2 linked regions of the Diceros bicornis minor genome follow. The protein of the gene in region 1 purifies or fractionates together with the protein of each later gene. This does not show direct contact. Links are inferred from orthologs where the notes say so. Each region holds a gene or a part of one and is shown on either strand. Other genes may lie near its edges. The genes, in order: FBXL4 and BNIP3L.

Region 1 (3,916 bases):
TGTATACAATTTATACTCCATATCATGTATCAGCTCAATTCATGTATATAATTTATAAATACATATCATTACTATTTTGCCTTTTAGGGGCAATTAGATAGCAAGTAAGGTGTAGTTCAACATGTCTTCATTATTAAATGTTTTTCCATCTTAATAGAAACCTTGTAACAAGATAAAGATGATGCAAACTGAAAAAAGGGTGATATTGTATCTACTGAAAATAAATAAAAACGATTGAGTAAGGAAGACCATGAGAGCATCTTCTTCATCAGAGGTAATGATCACCGGCTTCAGAATGTTGGAAGAGAGATGAACCCGCACGGCGGATTTGTTATCTGGGGCAGAAGAGGTTTGCCAACTTGGTGATTTATGCCTTTAGAGTGCCTATAACATATTCCCCTCTTCCTCTGAGGACCTTACCACCTGTAATCCCTATGCATCACCTGACCCACCAACTCTGGATTGAAGAAGCCCTAGCAGGACTTCACTACAGGTGCCAGGCCGGTGGGAGGAAAGAACTACTCTCGCAGTAAATTTGCAACCAGTGCCCGCTGGGGAGTATCTGGCAATTTATAGGGCACGACTGGGTCTGGAAAACCAGCTGGAAGCTCCTCCCCTCGGCCTAGGAGAAGGCGGTTCTGACGCTGCGGACGGCCTCCAGCGGGGGCAGCGCCCCGCCTTCCCTCTGGCCCCGCTCCCGCCGGCCCCGCCCCACCCCGCCTTCCCTCTGGCCCCGCCCCCGCCGGACCTGCTCCGCCTCCCCGCTGGCCCCGCCCCTCCCCTCCTCGCGGCCTCTGCGTCTTCCTTCCGGGTCGCGCTGGGCCGGGCTCGCCGCCGTTGCGCCGCAGCGCGGCGTCTGGGAGCCGCCCCCGCGCCCGGGCCTCCCGCGCCGCCTGGTCTCTGGTGAAGCCCGCGGCGCGCGCCTCTCCGGGACGCTGCAGGGTACGGCCCTTCCTTTCCTTCTCCCTCCTGAGGGTCTCCCTCTTTCTCCTTCGGCGTTGGGGCGGGGCCGGGTCAGGGCGGAGCGCCGCGCTTTGGGGAGCTTGGGCGCCCAGCTGAGGTCCCTGCCGGTCGCCCCTCCCCCGAAGCCCGCGCTGCGCCGGCGGAGCTTGCTGGGGACCCTGAGGACAGCTGACGTGCCTTGGGCGCTGCTGCTCTGCACCAGCGTGTCCGCAGGGCGTGAGGCGTCGCCCCGACGTGCGCGCGGCGCGTGGGTGTTTACACGCGGTGTCTGCGGGCCCAGCTGACCCTGCTGCCCTGCGTTGGCCACCGGCCTGCCTGGGTACTTGTCGCTCCTGTGCGTGCTGCCTTGACTTCCCTCTGGCGTGGGATGGTTTTTGCCTAACCAGGCCCCTGTCCGTCTTCAGGACTGCCACAGGATACCCGGCAGCAATCTTGTTTCTATGTTTAGGGTTGTCTTGAGAGTGTAGTGTGATGATGAACATCCACTTGGCCTCCTTGTCAACATGTTGACAGTGGGAGTGGTTTTAGATTTCTTTGGTGGTTTCCCAAATGCTAACTGCTACAAAGCCTCGGGATGCATTCACTAATTGAAATATACAAATAATTAGAAAGTCGAGATGATATAAACCTGTGGTTAGGTAGGTGCGTTGGCAGGACACTGTGTCTGGCTTTATGCCCTGGGGGACTCACTGACAGCACGTCCGGGGATCTTGCTTTTTCTGGTCTCTTCGAGCACACAAGCTGTCTTGACTGCTTCCTGGCTTGCGCTCCTCGGTTTCTTTAAGTTCAGAATATAGGCACATAGTTTCCTTAAAATTCGCTTCATGCTTCTGTTGTCTTCTATTACATGTTGTACCTGGTGGTTGAACAGAGGGAGATTCTCCTGATATATCAACAATCCTATTAAGTTCTTGGGGGAAAGGGACAATGTACTTGTCTTTCTAGTGGCGATGTGTATCACCCCGCAGTAGGCACTCTGTAATTGTTCCTTGAATTGGATTCTTCTTTCCATACTTCCTTTCTGAGTACCAACTTTTTTTTTGTAACTGCTATCCCAAATTTTGGCTTTTACATTTAATGGGGGTACGTTGATTTCCTTTTTTTACCCCTTCCTTCCCCCTCCTTTAGAGTTTCTTGCCTATTCTTGTAATTTTTTTTTTTAGCTTGCCTTTCCCATAGTCAGTTGAATCATTAACCATTGTTAAATTCCTTCTCTTGCTAACTCAGAACTCGCCATGTAGAGTTGCTTCTCAGAGTTGTACATAGAGAAGCAGCTCGATTCAAAATCTGCATGCATTTTTAAATTTTGTTTTATTGAGGTCACATTGGTTTATAACATTGTGTGAATTTCAGGTGTACATCATTTTATTTTGGCTTCTGTATAGACTGCATTGTGTTTACCACCAAAACTCTAGTTTCTATCTGTCATCATACATGTGCCCCTTTACCCCTTTTGTACCCCCTACCTCTCTGGTAACCACCAATCTGTTCTCCCTATCTATGTGTGTGTTTGTTTATCTTCAACATATGAGTGAAGTCATACAGTAATTGTCTTTCTCCATCATACTTATTTTGCTTGGCATAATACCCTCAAGGTCCATCCACGTCGTCACAAATGACATGATTTTGTCTTTTTTGATAGCTGAGTAGTATTCCCTTAAATGTATATACCATATCTTCTTTATCCATTCATCCATTGATGGGCACTTAGTTTGCTTCCGAGTCTTGGCTATTGTGAATATCGCTGCAGTGAACATAAGGGTGCATATATCTTTTCGAATGAGTGTTTTCATGTTCTTTGGATAAATACGCAGCAGTGGAATAGCTGGATCATATGGTATTTCTATTTTTAGTTTTTAAAGAAATCTCCATACTGTTTTCCATGGTGGCTGCACCAGTTTGCATTCCCACCAGCAGTGTACGAGTATTTCCTTTTCTCCACATCCTCTCCAAAGCTTGTTATTTCTTATCTTTTTAATGATAGTCATTCTGATGGGTGTGAGATGATATCTCATTGTAGTTTTGATTTGCATTTCCCTAATGATTAGTGGTGTTGATCATCTTTTCATGTGGCCGTTGGCCATCTGTATATCTTCTTTGGAATCTGCAGTCTTTTGACTTGGCATTGTGTGTTAGTAAGTGTAGTGTGTCTCTCCTCATCAGCTATCACTTGGGGTATTCTTTACCTCGTTTTAGCAGCTCTACGGGATAAATGTCTATGGACGCGATCCCGGGGACAGCCTCATGTCCATTTGTATTTTACCATCCCAACTGGACATCTTAAATATAATGAATTTTCAGATGTGGCTATGATAGCTGCTTGGAAACTTTATTAGATTATAAAATAAATGTATATATTCTTTAAAAAAAAAGTCGAGTAATATAGAAATAGCCAAAGGAGAAAGTGAAAGTGTTGTGCCCACCTACCTTGTAACCTCGTTTTTGAGAGATCATCACTGTTTAATTATTTGTTCTCTTTCCTTCCAGACATTAAAAATACATGTGTACAAGTCCATATTTGTTTCATAAATGGCAGTGTATTATATAATTTTCTATAATTTCCAGTTAGTAATAATTGGTGAACATCTTTCAATGTCAGTGCATATAATATTATCTTTTTAAAGTGTTTTTGGTATTTTATTGTAGGAATAACTAGAATTTATTTAACCAATCCCCTGTTGATATTTACACTATTCCAAATTTATTTCTATTACAAACAAAACTGCAGGGATCATTTTTGTATGTATGTATCTGCATGTTTGTTAATTTCCTTAGTGTAAATGCTTAGATGTGCAATTGCTGGGTCAAAGACTATATACGTTTTAAATTATGATAGATTGTGCCATATTGCTCTTCAAAAGGTTGTTGTAAGAGTAAATTTATACCATTTATAAGAATGCTGCTGCTGCCATATCATTGCCAAGAATTGTCAAGGATCTGAGATTTTACCCTA
Region 2 (3,916 bases), on another chromosome or scaffold:
TGAGCGTATTCCCAAGCCATACAAAAATTATAGATTTGATTACACGAAAATTTTAAACGTCTGCAGAGCGAAACAAAGTTAAAAGACAAGTGACAGTCTGAGAGAAATATATGCCACATATAAATCAGACCAAGGAAACTGGACAAAGATATGGATACATGAAGTAGGTGTAGTGTTTAAGCACAAAAAGTAGTTTCGTGCTGCCCACATATAGGAAACATGGCTTCTCGTGTTATGTCCCAGAAATAAATTAGGTGATGGTATTTGGGTGATTATTTTCTTCTCTATCTTTTCCTAAAATTTTCCAATTTTTACAATGATCTCGAGTTACATTTGTAATTAAAATCTTTGAAATTCCTTAACAACAACAAAGTCTGGCCTGCCTTATGTTGTTCCCTGTTTGGAGTGTTAATGTTCCACCAGCTTTGCTTTAGTTTATGGCGGGGAAGGCAGCAGGGTTTTTGCTTCCTTTGTGTCACCATGATACCTATTACAGAAGTGAGTCCTTACAGACATTAAACAAGAAGTGCTCACGGATTGGCTAAAACAATGCTGACCCTGTAGGTGTGGAATATTTTGTTGTCAACACATGAGCACCTTACACTTCCTCATTACACACTTCTCCCTAGCCTCTAAGCCCAGTTCCAGCCGCATAACTCACTTTATCAGACCAGTACAAATAACACGCAAGAACTCATTCCTGGCGCGCGCGTCAGCGTGACTCTCGCGTCTCCACGTCCGGAGCCGGCCTGGGAACGCCCGCGCCCCGCCCCGCAGCTTGTTGTGTTGTCATCACGTGGCTGGGGCGGGCCCTGACGTCAGGGGCAGGGGAGGGACTGCGCAGGCGCAGAAAAGGGGGCGGGGGACTCGGCTTGTTGTGTTGCTGCCCGAGAACCAGAGACGGTCCTGCTGCGGCCGCAGCTCTTCCAGCCGCCCGACAATGTCGTCTCATTTAGTAGAGCAGCCGCCGCCCCTGCACAACAACAACAACAACTGCGAGGACGGTGAACAGTCTCTGCCCCCGCCAGCCGGCCTCAACAGTGAGTGCGGGCCGGCGGGCTCCGTGAAGGGGATGGGGGAGGAGGAGCTGCTGTGGCCGCCGCTGCCAGCTCCGCGCGCGGGGCGGGAGGAGAAGGCAGCCCATTGGTCCAGGCCGAGAATGTGAGGGTGACTGACAGCTCCCGTTACCTGTCAGGAGGAGTGCTCTTGTCTTCCTTTTGACCTGTCTCCCCTTCCTCCCGGGGTTTTGGGTGAGGGGCTGCTGGGGTTAGGTGTCGGGGAGGGCAGGTGGGTGGGAAGAGAATGGGGACGAGCCGATCCCACCTGTGGTGGGCCCCTGAGCGGAGCCAATCGGGGCGTGGAGGGGCGGGCCTCAGGCGCGGGGAGGGAGGGTGGGCGGAGCGGGCGGCCGAGGGGACGTGGGCAGGGATGGGGACGTGCGGCGGGGACGCCGGGGGATGGACGCGGCCGGCCGGCCCAGGGGAGGGGGCGCCCGAGGGATGGCGGGCGGTCAGGTGTGCGACGGGGCGTGGGCCGGCCCCGCTGACCCCACCTCCCTGGTCGGCCTTCCCTTAGGGCTCGAATGTGAGCCCTCTTGTCGCGGGCCTTTGTTACCGCGGGCTGGTCAGGAAAATCATTTGGTAATTTAGTGGTTACTTGTATCACAGAGAGGTGGGGTGAGGAGCCTATGCTACCCTTTTTTTTTTTTTTTGAGATTTTTCAGAGTTACTCAAGTGTCTTTTTTTTTTTTCTTTTTGTTTTTGAAGCGATGGGGTTATGTGCCCTGTAAAACTGTTTATGAACAGCCTCTTGAGCCATCCAAGATTGCACAAATCACGGAGTCTGGGGCAATGAATTTTCAGAAACAGGGATTAAAAAGACACACACACGGGCGATTGAAAGTTACTGGGCAATATTGAGTTGCGGTCAGCTACAGTTGCTTTTCAGAACATTCTGATGCCCAGACATCTTGTGCTAAGGTGGTCCCTGTTGTCTTTAGAGCTCGGAGTCTTTTTGAATACGTTCTTGCCTAACCATTCTGTAATTCATCTCATGAAAGAGGTAGTTGGGACAGTTACCATATGGCTAGATGAAATCGTTTAAAAATCATTTGGGTGCTTAAATGACGTTTAAAGGCATTGCTATGTATTTCATCAGAGGGAGGTGTTGCAGCATGGCCTAAAGATTATTTTAGGGAAGAGAGTTCCTGTCCTCACAAGATAGGGATAGAATTAGAGTATTTTAAGATGTTATCATTGCTTATTGCTGTTGCTCCATCTTTTGGTGGATAAATTTCTTAAATGTTGACTTTTTAAAACTTTTGTCTATTTTATGTTCTAGAATGTAAGATTTATATATTATTTCCCGCAGTAAATTAGGATTAATTTATGTCTTTGAATGTTATTTGCTTCACATATTAATATGCATTTTTAAATTATTTACCCCTTTTTAGCATACTCTTCAGAAGCATGGGATTTTAGAATGGGAGGAGACTTGAGAGAGAACTCGCCCGTGTTATTTACCCGTCTAAAGTGTGCTGTCCAGATTCACAGCAGGCTGGCACCTAGAGCTGAGGTTTTTACTTTTACCAGACCTAGTGCTCCTTTCAGGACACTTCAGTGGCCTAGAATCCCCTGGTTGTGTGGGTTTCTTGTTCTCTCAGCATGTTATTCCACCTAATGTACAGAGGTGACCTGCCTATCTCTTTTTAATATACCGTTTTTTAATTGTACCCAAGTGTTTTCCTATGATACTTGTGTAAGTTGGGTGTTTGGTTACCTGTGTGTACATTTCACAGAAAGCAGAGGAATTTTAATTTTCCTTTGACCATTTAACAAAAAAATGAGGTTGAGCTATATGTGATTGTTTGACTCTGAGTCTCACAGCCCTTTGAAGTATTTGATGTCCTTGGCCAATCAGTAGCTGCTGCGTGTATAACAGCTCTTACAGAAGTGGAAGAACACTCAGCCTGTGTGGGATATCAAAATGTTGCTTTGGGAAATCTGCTAGATAGAAAGTGTTGTATTTGGGGTAGGGTGAGCTTTTAAAAGTGACTGAAAAGCTTTTATTTAGTGCCATATTTCATTCCTCGCCTTTTGCCTTTTACTGGTTTTTTTTTTTTTTTAGCTCATTATACAACACTGGACTGAACAAAACAAGAAGGCTTATTGATTCCTTCAAGTGATTTTTGAGTGCGGAGCAAAACAACTTATTCAGGCATCTAATACTATCCTAATTGCTGATAAGTTGAAGTTCTTTGTTGGGTAAAGTTGCACAACTAAGAAAAACAGGAGATGAACTCATTGTACAGATTATCCTTGGCTTGGGATTTTATCTTTAGTTCAGAGGTCAAAGCAGAGTTTTAATAGCAAATTATTGAAATATGTGGAATAATGAAACCTTTCTCTGATTTTTTTTTTTTTAGTTTAGCATTGTAGGAGGACTGTACACTTTCATTACAAATTAGTGGACAAATATCTGAACTACTTCCAAAGTTAAAAGGATATTTTCCAGTTTCCAGTTGTTAGTTTTATTCCTGAGAAAACTATCAAGTTACTTAAGAATATTTGTTTTGGACATTTATGTCTTAAAATTCAGTCAGTAATATAAGGAAAATCATGGCAGTAGAATTTTGTTATTGTTTATTGTAGGAAGAACAGCCTTTTATTTTCTTTTTAAACATCTTCGACCATGGTATACTTGCTTCCCCAGTGTGGCAAGAAGGCTTTTAAGGCTATGACATGTGAAACTTCACTGCCTTGTGATACTGTTTTGAATACAAAAGTAACTGGTGTGTAAGTACCTACTTGTGCAAAAGGACAAACTTTGTTTTTAGAAGAATGTCAATGACAGTTCTTGATCTGGATTCAATCTTCAGGAACTTGAATAAAATAAAGGCTTTGAGGAAAGAAGATAA

The links.
Region 2: the proteins of FBXL4 (region 1) and BNIP3L purify together in Homo sapiens (affinity purification with western blotting; 4 studies listed by BioGRID, with this or other methods). This does not show direct contact. The link is inferred for Diceros bicornis minor from reciprocal best matches to the Homo sapiens genes FBXL4 and BNIP3L.

The regions. Positions count from the first base shown.
Region 1 is NC_080762.1:34,882,904-34,886,819, forward strand, and holds the start of FBXL4 (F-box/LRR-repeat protein 4), read left to right. Parts: upstream 1-871; 5' UTR 872-942; intron 943-3,916. UniProt on the Homo sapiens protein: Substrate-recognition component of the mitochondria-localized SCF-FBXL4 ubiquitin E3 ligase complex that plays a role in the restriction of mitophagy by controlling the degradation of BNIP3 and NIX mitophagy receptors.
Region 2 is NC_080750.1:67,540,326-67,544,241, reverse strand, and holds the start of BNIP3L (BCL2/adenovirus E1B 19 kDa protein-interacting protein 3-like), read left to right. Parts: upstream 1-868; 5' UTR 869-940; coding exon 941-1,040; intron 1,041-3,916.